Diceros bicornis minor: one gene and its partners. The protein of the gene in region 3 interacts with the protein of the main gene of each other region in a pairwise test. Links are inferred from orthologs where the notes say so. Each region holds a gene or a part of one and is shown on either strand. Other genes may lie near its edges. The genes, in order: NRAS, PLEKHB1 and RAP1GDS1.

Evidence for each region.
Region 1: the proteins of RAP1GDS1 (region 3) and NRAS interact in binary tests that used the Homo sapiens proteins (3 or more experiments, as listed by UniProt). The link is inferred for Diceros bicornis minor from reciprocal best matches to the Homo sapiens genes RAP1GDS1 and NRAS.
Region 2: the proteins of RAP1GDS1 (region 3) and PLEKHB1 interact in binary tests that used the Homo sapiens proteins (3 or more experiments, as listed by UniProt). The two-hybrid records come from large-scale screens. The link is inferred for Diceros bicornis minor from reciprocal best matches to the Homo sapiens genes RAP1GDS1 and PLEKHB1.

The regions. Positions count from the first base shown.
Region 1 is NC_080743.1:47,359,855-47,367,415, forward strand, and holds the start of NRAS (GTPase NRas), read right to left. Parts: upstream 3,060-7,561; 5' UTR 2,955-3,059; intron 2,450-2,954; 5' UTR 2,433-2,449; coding exon 2,322-2,432; intron 244-2,321; coding exon 65-243; intron 1-64. Other genes in the region: CSDE1 (cold shock domain-containing protein E1), read right to left, coding at 4,446-4,493, 4,883-5,015, 6,016-6,179, 7,539-7,561. UniProt on the Homo sapiens protein: Ras proteins bind GDP/GTP and possess intrinsic GTPase activity.
Region 2 is NC_080746.1:57,229,311-57,236,482, reverse strand, and holds the start of PLEKHB1 (pleckstrin homology domain-containing family B member 1), read left to right. Parts: upstream 1-4,160; 5' UTR 4,161-4,194; coding exon 4,195-4,212; intron 4,213-5,358; exon of another isoform or gene 5,359-5,434; intron 5,435-6,663; coding exon 6,664-6,739; intron 6,740-7,172.
Region 3 is NC_080747.1:81,218,534-81,226,068, reverse strand, and holds the start of RAP1GDS1 (rap1 GTPase-GDP dissociation stimulator 1), read right to left. Parts: upstream 3,022-7,535; 5' UTR 2,968-3,021; coding exon 2,964-2,967; intron 1-2,963. UniProt on the Homo sapiens protein: Acts as a GEF (guanine nucleotide exchange factor) for the Rho family of small GTP-binding proteins (G proteins) that stimulates the dissociation of GDP to enable subsequent binding of GTP.

The DNA of each region.
Region 1 (7,561 bases), on a different chromosome or scaffold from region 3:
CTCCCACAAAGCTTCAGAACACACTTAAAGATCATCCTTTCAGAAAAAATAATGCTCCTAGTACCTGTAGAGGTTAATGTCTGCAAATGACTTGCTATTATTGATGGCAAATACACAGAGGAAGCCTTCGCCTGTCCTCATGTATTGGTCTCTCATGGCACTGTACTCCTCTTGTCCAGCTGTATCCAGTATGTCCAACAGACAGGTTTCACCATCTATAACCACCTGTTTTCGGTAAGAATCCTGAGGATGTGGACGGTGAGGTGGTGGGGAGAGAGGGAGATTCCATTTTTATTAAAAACCACAGGGAATGCAATGCTATTGCCAAGATTAAATAAGCTCCTAACCAAGTCCATTTCTGTCTCTCTGATTTGTCCCTCAAACTGTGAATATATAATCACAAACAGAAAGTACTTAATGTCACCCTAGGAAAAAAGCCCCAAATCCTATACGCCTGCAGAAAGGAAAATGTGGTCACTCTGTTCCTGGAAAAGGTGAAAAATATGTGGTACTTCAAAAGACAGCTCTACTGCAATTAGACTAGAGATTAGGTTCACATTGTACTTTACTAAGGTATGAACTGGACTTGTCCTGTTTTAGTTGTTTATGGTACATTTAAAATTCTAAACATACCTCCACTAATTATAATCTGGCTTTGGATACAGTGTCATTTGTGTTTATGACTAAATACACAAATACTTTTTATTTCAGACAAGGTTATAATACCAAAATATTTTTCTCATCATGACAGACTGTACCTTTGGGAAATATTCCTCAATCAAATTCCTAAAGGTTCCAAACAAGGTATAGGTATAACTAAATTCCTCAGGAAGACAGACATGCATAGATCATATAAAAAATTTTTTTCAATCTGGCTCTAAGACAAAAATTTTACTTGTATTTTAATACTTATGTTCTGGGAATTCAAAGAAAATAACCTCATCACACTTAGTCAAGATCTGGCTCTAGAAACAAAACTCAACCTAATTTCCCAGCCTATTGATCAGTTCCTCTGTAACTCACTTGCAACATACTTTCAAATTAACATAGAATTCACATTGCCAGAACTTCCTTGAGGCATGAAATATGGTTAAGTGTATGAGTGCTCCGAGGAAATGAGCAAAATTAAAATTATAAAGATAGGTTTTAGTCAAATGAATTTATGATAATAGAAGGCAGAGAAGTGGTTATTTCCTGACAGGGTGGGGGAGTTTATTGACTGGAAAGGGGCATGGGAGAACTCTCTGGGGCATTAAAAATAGTCTATACTTTTATCTGAGTGGTGGTTACGTTAAGTGTATATAAATTTAATAAATCACCGAAGTATTTTACTGTATGTAAATTACCTCTCAATAAATAAAACTCCAAAAAATATTAAAAGTTTCTAACTATTAACACTAAAGCTGTTAAGCCTAAAATAAAGATTTTTGCCCAGGACTAATGAGTAATTTTTTAATAATGGCTATATTAGAGTTAGCTTGCATTAATTAAACACTCAGTAGCTGGGTGGTAGGAAGAGCAGGGTGTAGATTAAAAGAAAATAATCTTTAGAGTTAGACATTTCTAAACTGAATAAAATTACAAAACCTTTTAAAACCTTTTATTTAAAGGACACTAGATGCCATTTATTGAAGCTAATCTATAACAAACTCCCATGAAAACAAAATAATCTTTAAATAAATACTATTTATGCAGCACTTCACCATTCACAAAAAATTTAAAGATATTATTTGATTTTTCACAATATCCGTGTGTGGTAGGCAGAACAAATTTATGGTAATTTAATAGATCAGGAAAATGAGGCTCAGAGAGATTAAGTAATTTGCTCAACATCACATAACTAAATAAACTGCAAACAGGGACTGAAATCCTAGGCAAAGCGGTTCAAAATCTCACGCTCTTTCTACACCAACCCACACTCTCAGCTGCTTCAACTAGCTAAGAAATGAAAATTGCAGAATACCCAGATCTCTGAACCCTTTATTTCCATCCTGCTATTATTCAGACAGTCCCTCTACCTATGGACTGTGTTTCTTTTTAACAGAGTTGTCATATATGAAGAAACTGAGTTCAACACTAAATTTGCAATAGTTTACATAAGTGTTAAAAATTGTAAACTTTTTAGAAAATCTTCAGCAGCTAATAAAAATGAACTCTTCTCCACAAACATTCCAGCTTTACTTATTGTATTACTCAACGCAGTACCCAAAATCACTTTTTACTTTCTCTCCTGATTACTCCTTTAGGTAAAGAACAGCAAAAGGGTATGGGTAAGGGTAAAACCGCAGAGGTGGAGTCAGCAGGCTACCACTGGGCCTCACCTCTATGGTGGGATCATATTCATCAACAAAGTGGTTCTGGATTAGCTGGATTGTCAGTGCGCTTTTTCCAACACCACCTGCTCCAACCACCACCAGTTTGTACTCAGTCATTTCACACCAGCAAGAACCTGTCGGAAAGCATCAATTAGGGTTAACTGGCGAGCCACATCTACAGTACTTCAAAGCTTTCCCTATAATCAATAGTAACTAAAACCAGAATTTGAAATGTATCGGTTCCATACACGTCACCGCCACTTGGTTCTCAAAATGATTCAGGAATGCCAAAAAGCACTTGCAGGTTACTGTGGGCCTCAGAATTCTGGATTATAGTCTTCTAGCTACCCCCACCCTCGTCTATGTTTCAACAGTCCTTGGGCCCCGCCCTCAGCCTCAGGTAAAGGAAACCCCCCCTTCTATTCCTCCCGCAAGTCTTCCCAGCTCTAGGAGGAGGCCTCCAGGTCGCTCCCCCTTACTACTCCCCGGCCCATCTCTAAACATCTTCCCCGTAGGGCTCAAAACGAAGGACCCCCGCCCAGGGCCTTTGTTTGCAGCTCGCAGATTCCGCTCGATTTCTGGCAATAACGAGACGCCTGTATGCTCCAAAGCCGAATGCTACACACGCCAGAGACCTACCTCAAGCTCCGCTGCCTCCGCTTCGTACGGATTTAGGACCACAGCCGGGAAAAATGTTGGAGACCCCGGAACCGCCATGAACAGCCCCCACCAGGGAGCGGCACTTCCGGCCCCGCCCGCTACGTAATCAGTCGGCGCGCAGGACGCCCGAGGCCCCGCCCCGGCCACGTGGGCTTCCAACCCGGGAGTCATGCGGCAGGCCGCACCCAGACCCTCCCCTCCCACACAGGACGTTGCAATAATGAAAGCGCTAGGTGCTAGTGTCTCAAAAATCAGTAAAACTTTATTCGCTTCCATTCTTTCGCCATTAACAGAAAACTGGAGAAAGCAAAAATGTTTCGTGTTTACAAAGATAAATGGCCTCTTTCCCAGAGAAGATCAAAACCTCAAACGACAACGGGGAAGATAAAAGCGCCCTCCCCCACATCCCCTGAGCTGACCCTTTTCATCTTAGACAAAGCCTTCAGTCCACTGGCCAGGGACCCTGTATGTGGCCAATTCAACATGAGGGCCAAGAAATCAATCCATTCCCGTGATATAAAGTTGAACAGAAGCTACACCAAAGGTCAAGTGTCTGTATTTTACAGGACACAGGAACCAGGCGGCTACTTACAAAAAAAACAAGATTCATTTCAGGCACAACTTTTTTATTTTATTTTTTTGTTTTTAAATCAGTAAAAGAAACTGGGTCCTAGAAGCTGCAGTGATCTAAGCAGCAGCAAGTTTGTGCATTCGTCTTTTTGTTTTTGTTTAAATACGTTTAAATTATCACACTGCTGGCACACCTTATTTGCATGAAATTCTGCACCATACATACTAATTGTAGTCAAGTTACCCCCCCATCCTAGGAAAAAAAACTACTCTGGAAGATAATTTTCACTGAAATCTAACCAAACTTCGTTAAGTGGACTGTGACAAGATTATAAATGATATGAAAAATAACATTTTAACATTTGGCCATCAACTTAAGGAAATGGTTTGCCTACACAAATTTTTGTAATTTTTAATATATTCTACCCTCATATGGTCCTCAGAATTAAAGCATAATGAACAGGAAAGGAAAAGAACGCAACTGAGTGCTAAGGCAGAACATCTTGCCAGAAGTAATGAAGGTAGAGTATATACTAAATATGAAGTGCAGAATTTCACAGGGCCAACAAGATAACAGTCTATATTTTTCACTTACACAGGCAAAGTGGATTTTGCAATTACCAGTTGCGTTAAATGCACCAAATAAAGCTCCTAAAATTGATATATAAGGCGCCACCTTAAGTTTTCCAGGCTGCAACTGTGCATAATTTTAAAATGGTTTTCTTAAATTTATTTATTTTTTTAAACATAACACGAGGAAGGTGTTAAAACTGGTGTAATAGCTCAATAGAATAAGTATTCCAGATTTTAGGAGGGATGAAGAGGGAGATATTCAGAACCCTTCACCAGAATCCCCCCAACTTGATCATAGTGGATTAATGATGTGCTTTGTGGATGTGGTTAGTCAATGACACCAGCTTGACGGATCTTTCTTTCTGCACCAAATCCCTGTGAAGAAATAAAATTGCAGTTAATAACCTGGGTACATGACAATCACAGTACATTCACAATTTCAAAATGAACTACAAAAGCATTGCTTTTAATCATCGTAATCACCACCAATTTTTTCCCCGAGGAGGAAATCTATAATAAGCCCTCCTGATCTTTTACCTGAACTATATGTTCAAAGTATCAGGAAAGCCAAGAAATGTGCCTTTTATTGTGAGCAACCATTTATGTTACGGGCTCAATCAATATGGAGGGAGTCCTAACTAGCTAGAAGCAATACTGAAGCTCCTTGCTTCATTAAGCCCTCTGAGCTATGCCGAAATAGGACATCAAGTAGTATGTTGGTCTGTCAGTTGCTACCCCACCCACAACCTTGCATGACCTCATACCATTGAGTTATCTGGTCCCCTTGGCTGACGAAGAACCATTAGGCGAGGAGCACTGGCATCATCCAAGGTGATGTTCTTCAAGCGATTGACCAACCTATCAGGTCGTGGAGCTGCAACAGTCTTGGGGCCCTCACTGTAACAAAGTCAAGAGGTGAGAAGAAAGCAAGTACTTAGAGAGGAGTGTGTTTTCTACCTAACTATTCAAATGACTCAGTTTTAATGAGGGGGGACTCTTGCCTCATCTAGCCAGCAAGCTAGCAAGACAGGACAGACAAGTTTATGTTTTTATTCCCAAGTCAAGGTTTACTACTGTGTAGGAGCTAGAAGAATCAGTTGGGTGAGGGTCATCCCTAGAATGGTCTGCAACAACAAAAGACCAGTTTCAAAGACACAAGGCAGCACATGTGAATAACCTTGAAAAAGTTAAATATCCTGGTTCCTCTAATGGTAACAATGTTATTGACTTAAAAAAAAGCGCAAGCACAGAGTCAAACTGCTAAACTATAAAATCAGAATTTTTAGCAGCATATAACCTAGAGATGGCTTAATGAAAGCAAAAGAGCTAAGCAGAATCCTTTAGGAACAAGGACTACATAATCTTTTATATAAAAAGACCTACGATATAGTAAGTACTCAATGTTTCATTGGGCCAGATTTTATGAGACTAAAAAGTTTAGACAATAAAGACTAGAGCTAAAGGGGCCGGCCCAGTGGCGCAAGCAGTTAAGTGCATGCGCTCTGCTTTGGCTGCTCAGGGTTCGCAGGTTCGGATGCCGGATGCACACCGATGCATCGCTTGTCAAGCCATGCTGTGACGGCGTCCCATATAAAGTAGAGGAAGATGGGCATGGATGTTAGCCCAGGGTCAGTCTTCCTCAGCAAAGAAAAAAAAAAAAAAAAAAAAAAAAGAGGAGGATTGGCAATGGATATTAGCTCAGGGCTGATCTTCCTCACAAAAAAAAAAAGACTAGAGCTAAAAAAGACATAAGAAGTATCAAGAAATAACCAAAAAGTGGCAGAAGAGGATGAAAGCAGCAGTGATGAAAAAGTGACGAAATGTGATAAAGCAGAAATTACAGAAGTTAAAGAGACTGTCCAGGGAGGTTACTAATCCAACAACGACAAAAACTTACCAGACTCGCCAAACATTACAAGCACTGCATTTGCCAGTGCGCTGATTAAGAATCACTGAGAATTCCACCTCATCTCCTGCCTGTAGCTCAATGCCATCCTGAACTTCTTTCACATGGAAAAAGAGCTTCTTGCTATCTCCTACTTCGTAGTTAATGAAGCCAAACTGGGGGGAGAGGGAAAAAAGACAGTAGCTAAAAAAAGGGCATACCACAATGGGGAAAAGCACCTCACTCTGAATGAAGCACCATGCCTGACCCTAACGAGATTTATAAAACATCGTATTAATGCTGATACTCTAGTTCAGCTGTCTGTGCTATAATTTAATAGCGTATGGGTCTGCAAAACTTGTCAGGAAAGAAACATATCTTTGAAATTACTGCCATTCACTCTATTATTGCCTGACTGAAACAAAGAAAGGTTGCCTTGTGGCTTCATATATCATATGAACCATATGTTTTTTTCTCTGAGGAAGATTCACCCTGAGCTAACATTTCACCCTGAGCTAACATCTGTTGCCAATCTTCCTCTTTTTTTTTGCTTGAGGAAGACCGGCCCTGAACTAACACCTGTGCCAGTCGTCTTCTACTTTATATGTGTGTTGCGGCCACAGCATGGCTGACAAGTGGTGTAGGTCTGCGCCTGGGATCTGAACCCGGGCCACTGAAGCAAAGCACGTTGAACTTAACCACTATGCCACAGAGCTGGCTCCTAAGTTTTTGAATCAAGCAAAATTATTAGGGAGCTGTTACTTGAACAACATATGTAGTGTTTTGATTCCTTCTAGAATTATTAAGCTGGGTTATGGCATCATAAGAAACAGCCATACAAAATGTTATCTTCACCATACTGATACTGAAAAACGTCCTCTTTGAGCACTCACAGGGATTTCCTTGAGATCTCAGTACCAGGAATAGTTTTGTTTGCCTAAGCTTATTTTATGAACACTTCTACACATGGTTTCTTTCCTTCTGTGATCTGCAAGCTCTGAGCTAAAGTGTACAAAACTTTATAGTTTTTCTATTCTGCAACTTTCACTCCAAATTTATTTTCCTCATCACACAATGTTATTAATACCCCTCTTATTTTCTTCTTGCTAGTATCACCATTTTTTTCTTTTCATGTGGTTTTCTTCATATTTTTATAAGCTACCTCAAATCACTGAAAAAGGGGTAAAGTAGAAGTAAAAATCAAATGAATGTTGGGGCCAGCCTGGGGTTCACAGGTATGGATCTCGGGCATGGACCTATGTACTGCTTATCAAGCCATGCTGTGGCAGGTGTCTCACATATAAAGTAGAGGAAGATGGGCACGGATGTTAGCCCAGGGCCAATCTTCCTGAGCAAAAAGAGGAGGATTGGCAACAGATGTTAGCTCAGGGCTAATCTTCCTCTCTTGCTCTCTCTCTCACCACCCCCCCCCCCCAAATGAATGCTGATGGTTCCCCTTGGCTGAAAAAATTTCAAGGTTTTGGTTACCAATTCATAAAAGGATCAAACTCAGACCCAGAGATACCACCACTTACCTGATCTTTCACACACTCCACTG
Region 2 (7,172 bases), on a different chromosome or scaffold from region 3:
AGCCTCCACATGAGCTTTCTACTCAAAACCCTGAAACACTGCAGTGACCTTACATCATTTCATTTATTATTTATTTTATTTTATTTTTTTTGTTTTTTGCTTTTTTGTGAGGAATATCAGCCCTGAGCTAACATCCATGCTAATCCTCCTCTTTTTGCTGAGGAAGACCGGCTCTGAGCTAACATCTATTGCCACTCCTCCTTTTTTTTCCCCAAAGCCCCAGTAGATAGTTGTACATCATAATTGCACATCCTTCTAGTTGCTGTATGTGGGACGCAGCCTCAGCATGGCCGGACAAGTGGTGTGTCGGTGCGATCCCGGGATGCGAACCCGGGCCACCAATAGCGCAGCACGTGCACTTAACCGCTAAGCCATGGGGCCGGCCCATCATTTCATTTATTTTTTCTTCAAAACTGTTATTGTTATTTCTTGTTGTTGTTAAGGAAGATTCGCCCTGAGCTAACATCTGTGCCAATCTTTCTCTATTTTGTATGTGGGTTGCAGCCACAGCATGGCTGACAAGTGGTGTAGGTCTGCGTCCAGGATCCTAACCTGTGAACCCAGACCACTGAAGCAGAGTGGGACAAACTTAACTACTCTGCCACAGGGCCAGCCCCCCAAATTATTATTACTTTTTTGTGAGGAGGACCAGCCCTGAGCTAACATCCATGCCAATCCTCCTCTTTTTGCCAAGGAAGACTGGCCCTGGGCTAACATTCTGAGCCCATCTTCCTCTACTTTATATGGGACGCCGCCATAGCATGGCTTGACAAGCGATGCTTCGGTGTGCGCCCGGGATCCGAACTGGCAAACCCCGGGCCTCCGCAGCAGAGCGCTCGCACTTAACCGCTTGCGCCACTGGGCCAGCCCCCAAAATTATTTTTTAATTATCTATTTTTTCTATTTTAAAAAACTTTTTACAACTCAACAATTAAAAAATCAAAAACCCAACTAAAAAGTGGACAAAAGATTAGAATAAACATTTCTCCAAAGAAGATCTACAAATGGCTAATAAGCACGTGAAAAGATGCTCAACATCATTGGTCATTAGGGAAATGCAAATCAAAACCACAATGTGGGCTGGCCCCGTGGCTTAGCAGTTAAGTGCGCACGCTCCGCTACTGGCAGCCAGGGGTTCAGATCCCAGGCGTGCACCGACGCACCGCTTCTCCTGCCATGCTGAGGCCGTGTCCCACATACAGCAACTAGAAGCACGTGCAACTATGACATACAACTATCTACTGGGACTTTGGGGGAAAAAAAAAAGGAGGAAGATTGGCAATAGATGTTAGCTCAGAGCCGGTCTTCCTCAGCAAAAAAGAGGAGGATTAGCATGGATGTTAGCTCAGGGCTGATCTTCCTCACACACACACACACACACACATAAAACCCACAATGAGTTGGGGCCGGCACAGTGGCACAGTGGTTAAGTGCTCATGCTCTGCTTCAGCGGCCTGAAGTTTGAAGGTTCGGATCCCAGGCGCGCACTGATGCACCGCTTGTCAAACCATGCTGTGGTGGCATCCCATATAAAGCAGAGGAAGATCAGCACAGATGTTAGCCCAGGGCCAGTCTTCCTCAGCAAAAAAAAGAGGATTGGGATCAGATGTTAGCTCAGGTCTGGTCTTCCTCACACACACAAAAAAACCACAATGAGATAACACTTCTCACCTACTAGGATGGCTATAATCAAAAAACAGACAATAACAAGGGCTGGCGAGGATGTGGAAAAACTGGCACTCTTATAGGTTGCTGGTGGGATTGTAAAATGGTGCAGCCACTTTGGAAAGTAGTTTGACAGTTCCTCAAAATGTTAAACATCGGGTTACCGTATGACTCAACAATATCACACTCAAGACAAATGAAAACATATGTCCCCACAAAAACATGTAAACAAATGTTTTAAGCAGCATTATTATAATAGCTGAAAAGTGGAAACCACTCAAATGTCCATCAGCTGATGAATGGGTAAATAAGAAATTCCACACAATGGAATATTATTTGTCAATAAAAAATAAAGTTCTGATACATGCTACAACATGGGTGAGCCTTGAAAACGTTAAGTGGAAGAAGCCAGTTACAAAAGGCCACATACTACATGATTCCACTTACATGAAATGTCCAGAATAGGCAAATCTATACAGATGAAGTAGATTTGTGGTTGCCAGGGGCTGAGGGGAAAGGGGATTAAGAGTGACTGCTAAAAAGTATAGAGTTTATTTTAGGGGTGATGAAAATGTTCTGAAATTAAATAGTAATGATGGTTGTACAACTTGTAAATATATTAGAACACTGAACTGTACACGTTAAAAGAGAGAACTTTAGGGCCGGCCCGTGGCTTAGCGGTTAAGTGCGTGTGCTCCGCTACTGGCAGCCCAGGTTTGGATCCCGGGCACGCATCAACGCACTGCTTGTCTGGCCATGCTGAGGCCGCGTCCCACATACAGCAACTAGAAGAATGTGCAACTATGACATACAACTTTCTACTGGGGCTTTGGGGAGAAAAAGGAAAAAAAAAAATAAAGAGGAGGATTGGCAATAGATATTAGCTCAGAGCCGGTCTTCCTCAGCAAAAAGAGGAGGATTGGCATGGATGTTAGCTCAGGGCTGATCTTCCTCACACACACACAAAAAAGTGAATTTTATAGTATATAAATTATATCTCACTAAAATTACTTAAAAATTTTTACTTGATTTTACTTCGGCTCAAATTGCATCTTGACATAAATTTCTGGATTTTTTAGTAATTAGAGATAGTACAAATTATTCTCACTATATTATACTCTTTAGAAAATATAAGTAGTGAATTTTAATTTGATAAACCAGTCCACTATTCTCTAAACAATGTATTATCCGAGAGCTGTTCATCCACCAGGGACATTTGAAATAGCAACATACTTTTCTCTCTGCCAATGATTTTTGTTGATCTCAGTAAATTTTAATTGATTAAACAAACAAAGTCTCTCAAGGCCAGGACTGCAGGAGCTGGATTCCTGCTATGCTCTCAGCACCTCTCACTTGTTAATCCATACTCTATCCACTGGTCTACACAGCACTGGAGATTAAAAACACAGCTCTCAATGGTAATCATTATGGCTTCAGGGGTCTATGAACTCCCAGGAATTATATGCAAAACGTGACATGTGTGTGATCTTTTTCCTGGGCAGAGTCTACTTCCTTCAGCAGCTTCCCAAAGAGGGTCATCGAGAAACATTTTAGAGACATAAACCAGGTCGGGCTGCCTTTAGATTCTATAGTTGCATCCGTGGTTTCCCAGCATCCTTTTCTCTTTTTCTTGTCATAGGGCCCTCTCTTTGGTGGGGGAGGAGGGTGGATTTTCCCCCTAAATTCCACACTGCCACTGGAGAATCTTCCTTTTTCATCTGGTTGCTAAATCCAGAGAATGTAATCTAGGAGTCTGCACTGCTTCCCCACCCCACCCCTCTATGAAGGACGCCAAACAGTTGTTCACGGAGGGGAGCAGGGGAGAGCTAGGGAGAGGGCAGGATCCAGATTCCCTGAAGCCAGCTCCACTCACCCCTCCCTCCCTCCTCCTTTCTGCTGTGGGGGCGGAAAATTTAGCCTGGAGAAGGTAGGGGTGGGACGTTCCAGAGACAGACGATATAGAGTTGGAGACAGCTTAGTTTTGGAGAGCTGCTTCCTGGGGCTGCACGGAGGGGATGAGCTCAGTGGCTAATAGGATCGGCCGTGGCGAATCCCCTAGCAAGGCACGCACTGCACGAAAGGTTGAAGCGCCGGGGTGGCTCAGAGGTCAGGATTACAGAAACCCAGGAGCGAGAGAGGGAAGCTTAAAGAGCCAGGCTGCGCAGCCCGGACTGGGGTGATGGCACTGTCCCGCCCGGCGGGAGAAAGCAGATTTAGCCCCGCCCTCGACCGAGGGAGGAGGACTGGCCAGTCCGCGGCCCTGGCATCTTAGCAGTGCTAGGCCAAAACCACCTCCGAATCACGGATGACTTGTTGTTATCCAGTGAACTGAAGGTCCGAGGCAGACATCAGTCGGGGAGGTTGGGGAGTGACTGGAGAGAGAGGATGACTTTTTTAAAGTTCTATGTGCCCCCCACTTCCGGTTCCCACTTGGTAGGACCTTCCTGATCCCCTTATCTCTAAGGCGCTCAGGGAAATGCCCCCCTTCAGGAACCTTCTAGGAAATGCTGCCTTGGCCGCCCAAGAACCATGAGCCCTGCAACTCCGGTAAGCAAGAGGTGTTTGGGACAGGAGGAAGGGCCCAGGGCAGGGTGGGTGCCCCTCTCAAATAGGGGATGGGACCAGGAGTCTTTCAGGCCCTGACAGGCCCTGTTATCTGAATGACAGTCCTGGGTCTGCTGTAGGTGGGGGTTTGTGGGGCTGAGCTATTCAAGGAAATGATCCTGGAGGGGCAGACCAAGGTGGTAGATACAGAAACGGTCTTCTTTCTCCAGTTGGGCACTCTGCGATCCATTTTCCATTATGCCCTAGAGGGACCTTTCCAATTCACAAATCTGACCACCTAACTCCTCATCTTGAACCCTCCCCTCCCCGCAAGCTCCAGTCACTAGGACATAATGTCCAAGCTCTTGAGCCTGTCATCCAAGGCCTTCATATTATATCCTTGCAACCCCTGCAGCTTCATCAAGTGACACATCCCTTGCCCTCCCCACCTGCACTCTACTTGCCAAACACACTGAAATACAGCACACTCATTTGAACTTCCTAACCAGTGCTCTTATAAGTCTCTTAGGTTTCCCGTGAGAAACTCCTACTCATCCTTCAAGACCCCTTTAAGTCTCCTCTGGAGACCTTCCTGAACCTCTTGGGCAAAGTTAGATTCTTCTCTCCTGTTGTTGAATCATACTTTGTGCTCTAATTGTGTTTACGTTTCGTCTCCCCCACCAGACTGGAAGCTGGGGAAGGAAGGAGAAAGGGCCTTGTCAGATGCTTCTTTGTGCCCTCCACTAGCGCCCAGTGCAGTGCCAGGCACAAACTGAGTACTGTATTGAGAAAACATGGCAAAACTAGGAGCCTGGCTTCTCCTTGCAACCATACTTTTTTCTAGAAAATGGGTTCAAGATTCTTAGGAAAAAGTATTTCAAGATAAATGAGTGAACAAATGTCAGAGCAAAATGAAATCGCAGGTGCAGCCTCCCACCTGTCCTCCTGGTCAGCACAGGGCTACCACCCAAGAAAGGCTACCCATTGCCCAGTTCTAGGGCTGCAGACTACAAGTCCCAGCATGCCTCGTGCCAGCACATCGCTCCACGCCCCGCCCCCTCCCTGGGGGTGGGGCGGGGCCGGAGGGCGGGGCCCAGGGCGCAGCCTGGGGAGTGAAATGTCCCAGGCGCTCTGGGGCGCACAAAGCGCAGGCGCAGTGGGTTGGGTGGCAGCAGCATCAAGTAGCCGGCGTTTTGGCAGCAGCATCCGCAACAGGTGTAGACAGGTGGGTGCATCAAGGGGGGCGCTGGAGAGGGACCTGGTCCTCTTATCTGACCTGTGTCAGGGCTTGCAGAGGGGAGGGAGCGGCAGGAGAAGCAGGGACAAGGATGGGCCTTCCAGCCCTGGAGTGCCAGCCCTTGCTACGCAGCAAAAGGTGTGAGCAGGTGGGGGAGGGGCAGAGGCACCTACGCGCAAGAAAATCGTCCTCAGGAACAGAGGGCATCTAGATTCCAATCCAAGCTGCATCACCTAGTTGGACAAGTCATTTGCTGTGCCTCAATTTGTCCATCTGTAAAATAGGAGTAAAGATCCTACCCATCTAACTGGATGACAGTGGGGGCAAGGTGAGATAGTATAGTATGTCAGTGGTTCCTAAACTTTGCTGCACATTGGAATCACCTGGAGATCTTTAAAGACTTTCGGTGCTTGCCTCCCGCCCCCCGACATTCTGATTTAATTGTTATGGGGTATGACCTGGGTATCGGGAGTTTTGAAGGCTCCTTCTGGCATAATGGTTAGAAGCCAGGACTGCTGGGTGTGAATCCGGGCCCCACCACTGACTAATCAAGCGGATCTGCGCAAGTGACAGGACCTCTCCAGGCCCCAGTTTCCCCGGAAAAATAACAAGGATTGTTGTGAGGCTTCCGTGAGATACTAGATGAAAGCTCTGAGAGGTGTACCTGGCACATAGTGCGTAATCAGTTATAGCTGCTGTTGAACTATTATTTTATGCACTTCGTAAATGGCTCAGGTGGAGTTGAAATGTGAGGGAGCTTTTTCTTATCATGAAAGTCCCTCATTCACTGCCATGATTCTAATATTCTGTGCTGCCAGCATTTCAAAGTTCCAGGGTTTCTAACATTTTAAGAGTGCCTCACTCCAGCCTCTGCCTGCCTCACAGACACACTTTTACAGATCTAGAAATGGAGGCCAGGGAGAAGGGACTTGGCTAAGGTTATGGAGCTGAGATTGGAATCCAGGCTCCTCACCTCCCCGCCCCCACTCGAGCACAATGGGTGGCTGCCCTGCTGGCCCCGCCAGGACAGTGCTCCCATTATCTGCCTGCAGCAGAGAATGGGGAGGAGACAGGCAGGCTTGCCCTTGTTTGTCTACCAACACTCCCTTAAACGTTTCCGTGGTGGCTCCCCCAAGGAGGCTGGGGCTTGTCTTCTCTCTGGGGAGCTGCTCTGGAGCTGCTGATGAGGCCTGTGTGTCCTGTGGCTCCTCTGACAGGTCCCGCCTGACTCCGCCCTGGAAAGTCCTTTTGAAGAAATGGCCCTGGTGAGGGGCGGCTGGCTGTGGAGACAGAGTGAGTGGCCCTGGGCCAAGCCCTTGTCTGTCCTGCACCTTGTCCAGGGGCAGGGGTGAGGGAAGGGGCTTGTTGGGCCTGCCACAGTGAACCCTCTCCCCAAAACCAGGCCCTTTTTATCTTCCCCTCCTTTGTCCATGCTCTTCCCTCTGCCTGAAATATCCTTCCCATTCCTGACTGCTTGGTAAACTTCTACTTATTCTTCGAGAACTAGCGCAGATGTCCCCTTTTGTGAGGAGCCTTCTCGGACTTTTCCTCTAACCCCACCCCAGACCCTGCTGTAGCACCAAGCTGGGTTAGAGGCTCCTTTCTCTGTTCCCCACTGCCTCATACAAACCCCTGTTATAGCACAGATCCCCCCCTAATATAACTGTCTTTACCTCTCCCCCACCCCATACCAGCCCTAGCCTGTGAGCTCCTCAAGCGCAGGGAC
Region 3 (7,535 bases):
ACCTTCTCTCCATCCTCTGAATCTATAATATATGTAAAAGTCTTTCATATCACTTATACTTTATTTCTATTATAGTTATCTGTGTGTGTCATATTGTTCCTATTAAGATTATAAGCAACTTGAAATATGAATGTCTTATTCATCTTTGTCCTCCCACAGTATATTGCACATGGTTGATATTCAATATTAAATATATGCTGAACTTATGGTAAAATATATACATAACATAATAGCCATGGTCCATAAGATTATACAGGAAGTTTCCTTCACTTTCTTTTTTTTTTTTGTGAGGAAGATCAGCCCTGAGCTAACATCCATGCTAATCCTCCTCTTTTTCTGAGGAAGACCGGCTCTGAGCTAACATCTATTGCCACTCCTCCTCCTTTTTTTTTCCCCCCAAAGCCCCAGTAGATAGTTGTATGTCATAGTTGCACATCCTTCTAGTTGCTGTGTGTGGGATGCGGCCTCAGCATGGCCGGAGAAGCGGTGCATCCGTGCGCACCCGGGATCCAAACCCGGGCCTGCCAGTATTGGAGCGTGCGCACTTAACCGCTAAGCCACGGGGCGGGCCCATCCTTCATTTTCTTATGGAGAAACATCACTGCCATGAGAATATCTTTTTAAAAAATCACCTTATTTATTTCTTGAAAAGACATTAAAAAGTGATTTTTTTCTCCTACCATTAATCAGTATACCCTTTATGTATATATGAATTGTTATAACTTCCTCGGCTCAGAACATTGCTTCAATTTTACATTATTGTATGTACCTACTGATCATACACTAAACCGCCTTACCACTGAAAACAGCAGTGTAGAAGGAAATGGCTCGCCTGGAGGCTGCCCCAAAACCCATATCTCTGAGACAACCCAAGTTTTTTTTTTTAGAGAGAAGAGCAATCATAATATAATTATACTTCTCTGTTCCTGCTCCTCCACACCTCCATTATAACTATCAACTCAAATGTTTGTTCAGAGCCCAACGTTCAGGTTCACAAGCTGAAAATAACAGGTTTTAGGTTCAACAATTAATTTACCAAAGATTTACTGAATCCCTACTATGTGGAAAGCACTGTGGGGAACACAAAAATTAATATGACATAATTTTCATCCTCTGGAACTCATGATTAAACACACAACACACACATAAACAACTCCATTATAAGACAGATTATGTAAGTGCTAAAAAGCTTCCAACAAGGTACAAACAGAGCCCTGTGAGGGGAGAGAGATTAATTTAATCCGAGTATCTGAGAAGCTTCAAATGAGAGATCAGTTTCTATTTGGCCTTTTTTTGAAATCAAGCAATAACATTCAAGATTTATTAGTTTTAAGTAAATAATTTCATTTGTTTTAAGTATTTTTATTCACTAGTATCACACAGAATTGGATTTTTTCCTACTGAAAAGGTACTGATTCAACATGTAAGTTAAAATTTTAGTTAAATAGATTTTTTTAGCTCACCTTGAAACATTGGAAATGTATTTTACAGGCCAAACCTGTGGCCTATAATTAGGAAGAAAATTTTTGGTTGTTCAAGGGAAAGATACAATGTGTCCAATAATTAATATTTATCCAAAATTCTACTCCTAGAGAAAAACTAGATACATGTAAATGGGCCACCCAATTTTTACAGAAATTTGTTCAGCATACCAATAGTACATCAAAAGGAAAAAAAATGAACAACTGAAAATAGAATTCAAGGCCCGGGATTCATTTTGTATACACACCACCTCCTCCTGCAACACTGGCCTCTTCTCAATACATGGCTAAAGGTTTGAATCAGAGCTTGAAGCATCTGCTTTTCAAGTAAGCTCCATCGACCCTATTTCTTGATTTAGATGCTTCCTTGAAGATTCTGAGTTGCCATGACCTAATCCTGGACGTGTTGAACACTGTATTGACAGATGAAAGGACCACACTCATCTCAAGCTTAAAATAACTTGCACAGAAGGGGTGGGAAAAGTCCGAGTTGACAGACGCTAACGGAACACATTCTAAAAAGAGGAATTTATGATGGACAAGGGGGGAAACAAACTGGGGAACATGTAGAAGTGTGGTTCAAATGCTATTATTTAAAAAAAACTTTTGGATTTTAATTACATTACAGAATTCATCAGATATTTTTGTACTTACTAAACTTAACAGTGAAGCAATATATTATGAAAAAATTTAGGATTAATTACGTGTAGTTTTATAGGACCTATTTGCTTTTAAATGTCTCATCCAAACCAATCTCTTGAGATTAACTATAAATACAAAGGAACTAAAATCAGATTATGTAGATTTGGGCAGCGGGAGCTGGGAAAGAGTACTAACACGTAAGTGCGGTACCATGGCAGAGGGTGCAGCCTCCTGCTACAGCACAGGCGAAGGAACCCAGGAAACCGGCTGAGCACGGGAATACCGCACGCCCCGGCCACCCGACGCTAACTCAACGGCCAGCGGCTCACGCATCCTTCCTCACGCTCCTCGTGGCCTCTGACAAGTCATCCTTTCAACCTATGAGGCTGTCCGCTCTCCCCCACCGAAAATTACTTCTGTGCAGGTTGTAACACCGCCTCACAAACTACTCGCTCACACGTGCCCGCCTCGGGACGCGCATCCCCACGACGCGCAAAGGTGGAGGTGGGCAGTTCCGTGAAGCGGTCTGCCCGCGGGCGGCCCCCGGAGCGGCGCGGCGGGGCGGCGGGAGCCCGCGAGGCCGGCTGGCGGGGCCGGCACCGGCTTGCAGGAAGAATGGAGGAGGGGAGGAGGCGGCGCGGAGCCCGCGGCCCGACCGCACCCCGCGCCCGCGACCGGGCGTGCGCCCCGCGTGCGCCCACTCTCCCCGAGGAAGGGCCGCGTCTCGCACCCGAGGATTTGAGAAATCCGGCAACTTTGCGCGAGGAATGCCTCCCACCCTGCAACACACCGAGAGAGAGAAAAATGTCAGGCGATGACGGGGGAGGAAGGATGACTTACCCATGTTCCTCCCAGACGGTGAGGAGCCGGGGCGAGGCGAAGGTCTCCGGCGCGGGCGGCGCGGCGCTGCGTCCTCCCTCCACCTCCGTCTCTCTCGCAGCCAGGGAAGGACCCGCGGGGGGCGGCTGCCGGGGAGGAGCAGCTGCTGCTGCTGCTGCTGCTGCTGCTGCTGCAGGCGGCGCGGCCGCGGCGGGGACGAGCGGCGGGGGGCGGGGCGGGGCGGGGCGGGCAGGCGGGCGCGGCCTGCGGCGGGCGCGGCTCGGAGCCGGCGGGCGGCGGAGGTGCCGAGGCGGCCTGAGGAGCGCCCGCCCGACGCGCGCCCCGAACGCCCCGCCCACCCCACCGAGCATGCTCAGTGCCTCGCTCCCCGTGACCGGCGAATCTGAGCGTGCGAGTGGGCGTGCAGCCGCCGCGGAGGAGGTTGATGGCGACCGCCTGAGGGCCTGAAGGTGGGCCCTGAGGAGGCACGAGCCGGGGATCCTGAGCCCGGACTGCTCCCATCCGGCTCGCCCCAGGCGTGCTACCCCGACCCCGCCAACCCATACCCGGAAAAGGGGCCGTGTTCATTATGGGACAACCCGCTGCACAGGCGGGAATCTCCCAGAGGAGCCGCGCACCGCCTCAGCCCGGGGAGGTGGGGAAGCAGAGTGGCCGTCCTGACACGAAGCGGGAACGACGGAGGCCAGAGGCCAGCGCCTCGTGGAGATGGATGCCCAGGGACGCCGGTTCTCAGAGCAGCCCGTGGCCCGCCGGGCACTGAGCAGCGAGGTGGCCGCTGGGAGGGCGCGTCATGTCAGCTGGCGGGTCGGTGCACAGTTCAGGCTGTCCTGGCAGTGGCCAGTTTAGAAACAGAGGTCCGGCAGCCGGGAAGAGCGACTGCCCCAGGGTCTCCTCGGGGAGTGTCTCGTTCCCCGCCCAGAGGGGCGCGGCCTTCCGTTCCCTGAGGACGCCGGACAAGCCTCTGCGCAAGGGTGCCCTCGGCCTCCGCCTCCACCCTGCCGGGAGGTGCCACCCCGCCCGCTCCCTTTAACGCGGCAGGAAATACAAGTCCGGCCCTGCCCCGCGCGGGGAAACCGGGGCAGGGCGCTCCCCGTCCAGGGCGCCGTCCCGACCGGGCATGCGCGCGTGGGGTTGGTGTTACCGGTCCTCTGCCCGGGGGAGGGGCTGGGGGCAGCCTGCCGTCTCTTAGCGTCCTGGCCTTGCCCTGACCTCGGGACCTCGGTCGTTGGGGTGAGGACTCAGGTCGCTCTCCCGCAGCGACCGCAGTCCTGCGGGGGCCAGGGCCGCAGTCAGCAGCGCAGCCTGTGGGGGTGGCGAGGGGTGTAGAAGAGCTGAATCAGGTTTCTTTCCCTTTCAACTTTTACTTTCAAACCAAGGTTAAGAAAAGGCGCTTTTATCCCTCCCTTCGTCCGTGGCCCCTTCTTATAGTCAGATTAGTTTCCTTTTGTATGACTGATGCTAGAAGCACACAAGTCAGAATGGGCCTTGTTTGTTAAGCAGAGAGCAGATTTTATGCGACTTTTCTAAAACAAATGAAACAAAATAATTAAAAAAAGATTTGGTGAAACAAAAGACAAACTACAGAAGTAAAAGCTATTAGACTTTTATGATGCGCAAGACAGTCACCTCGCTCTTCTACTACTCTCCTTCCTTCTGTGATATAAGGATGCTCTTCCTTGCCTCAAAACCTGTCACAGCGGAATTACTTTCCTGGAGCTGCTGTAACAAAGTACCACAAACTGGGTGGTTTAGAACAACAGAAACGGCTGGTCTCACAGTTCTAGAGGCCAGAAGTCTGGAATCAAAGTGTTGGCAGGGCCGTGCTCCCTCTGTAGGCACGAAGGAAGGATCCCTTCCAGGCCTCCCCTAGCTTCTGGTAGGTCCTTGGCTTGTGGCAGCGTAACTCCAACCTCACGTCTGTTCAAATTTTCCTTTTTTATAAGGACACCAGTAAGATTAGGGCCCCACATACTCTGGTATGACCTCATTAACTAATTACATCTGCAGTAACCCTACTCCAAATAAGGTCACATTCTGAGATACTGGGGTTTAGACTTCAACATATGAATTTGCAGGGGACATGCTTCAATCTGTAGTATACCAACGCAAGCTACACACACACACCCACACGCACACCCCTAACATGTTCCACGTTCATTTTTGACCTCTCCAGAAGACCACCCTGGGGCCTTTCTATTGCTGCTCCTCGTGTTTTGTCCCTTTTTCTCTTTCCTTAACCTTCATTAATCTCAGATTCTCAAGTTCACTTGCTTCACTTTTCCTGCTACTTCCTTTTCTAATTATATATTACAGTAACTTTTCTAATTATATATTACAGTAACTTCTAAGAGCATCTTCTATCCTTCATTTGGGTGTGTGAATTGAAACCGGCAAAAGCAGCTGAAGCAGCTTTGTGACTTTCCACATGACACTAGTTTAAGTGCCTTTTTTGCTCTGATTGAATCCATAAACCATCCTCTCAACCTTCCTGCCAATTAAAACCACAGGACTGTTCAGGAGTGCAGCGTACAGTGAGTCCCCATGCACTGGTGTGCAACGGTAGTGAGACCCAGTACCAGCTGCTACATGCAGAAGTGGACCCATGTAACACCTACCCCTTTCATGCACAACACTAGTTCCCCTCCCCTCCCCTTTCTCCTATTATAGGAATATAACATTTCCTTACATCTTTACTCTTTTTTCTTTCTTCATCTTTTATTTAAAAGTTACCTGCATGAGGCCTTCCCTAGCCATTTTATCTAACATTTCGACACTCCCACTCCCCATCCCCAGTTCCCTACTTTGTTTCCTTAGCACTTATCACTAAGATAATATATATTTTGCTTATTGGATGTCACCCCCATTTAAATTTAAACTCCCCAAGGGCAGGGATTTTGTCTGCCTTATTTGCTGTTATATCCCCAGGACCAGAACAGTGCTAGCATGTAGCAAGTGCTCAATAAAAATTTGTGTCAATGAAAGTCTTTTCATCCTTGCAGAGTTTTTATCCTGAAAGAGAGCAAGAATGTTGTTAATATTCTTTTTATAAACTCTAGCACCTCAAGTAAAATTAGTTGCTCAATAAATATTTATAATGATGACGATGACAGCTGCTATCTGTGTTGTTTCTATCTTAAACTATGAGTCCCCTACTGGGTGGACACTAGACTTGGTACTAGTTTATTCACTCAGTCAGTCAAGGCAGACTTACTGAGCGCCTACTGTGTATCAGGCACTATGATAGGCACTAGGGATAAAGAACAAACTATGGCCCCTGCCCTCAAAAAACTTTGGGGGGGTTGCCCAGTGGTGTAGAGGTTGGGTTCCCACGTTCCGCTTCAGCAACCCGGGATTCCCCAATTCAGATCCTGGGCATGGACCTGCTCACTGCTTATCAAGCCATGCTGAGACAGTGTCCCACATAGAGGAACCAGAAGGACCTACAACTAGGATATACAATTAATGTACTGGGGCTTTGGGGAGAAAAAAGAAGAGGAATATTGGCAATAGATGTTAGCTTGGAGCCAAACTTCCTCAAAAAAAAAAAAAAAGTATTAGAAAAATTGCTTTGATGATGCTTCTAGTCATTGATCACATAAATAGACTAGAAAATATTCACCTGATGTCAAAAGAGTTTTCCAGAAATAAATCTAGTGCCTGTGCTCCGTGTTAGGCAATGGTCAGGACCTGATTAGGCCTGCTACAAAATAAAGGAGGAAATTCTGGCCCAGTGCACATGTTTTCAAATTCTATCTAGAAAATATATTTGTAAAGTATCACAGATTTATTTGAATAACAAGTTACTGTTGAAAATTGGTTTATGATTAGCCAAATAGCTATGGTAGGGATAGGGGGGCAAGTATCAAGGAAAATGTTTATTAGAAAGAATGAGAAACACTACATTTTTGGCAAGGTTTATAACATAACTTACCTCATTGATGCGTGTAACTTTAAAGAGGTTAGAAGGTGATTTAAATTCTTTAAAGGAAATATATTGGGAGGGGCAGAGCAAGAGGAAGTAGAAAGAGAACAGAGAGAATGTTCTTTAAAAGAATAATAGGGAACTGATTGCCTCTTCTTCACCATGGTGTTCTGAATATCATTTAAGGGAATCTCAATGGGGTAGTTAACTGAACTTTGCAGCAATAAAAAATGATTTGGCAGTGGACAGTGTTCTCTAAAGTCTTTATTTTAAAAGGTCTCAGTGAGGTTAGGCTAGTCTAGGTTGAACAACCAAAATGTCTTAACCTCTAGCTTGCTGTAACACCATCCATCTCCCCCATTTACTTACCATATTAACCATTTTCTAAATCTTATGAAATCTAAGTTTTCTTTTTTCATTGTCTGTCACCTCAAACGGATTAATGTCTACATATTGCAAACAACATTTTTTAGATGGTACAAAACATTTCGAAATCAGTTGAGTACTTCTCAAGCATCTCTTCTGAGCTCAGCACTGTGGTAGGTGCTACAAGACATAGGTATAAGTACCTATCAGGCAAAACAAGAGTAGGCCCAGTCTATTTTTAAAGTCTCTCCCTAAAAAAGTCTCCTAAGTCTATGAGTCCTAAC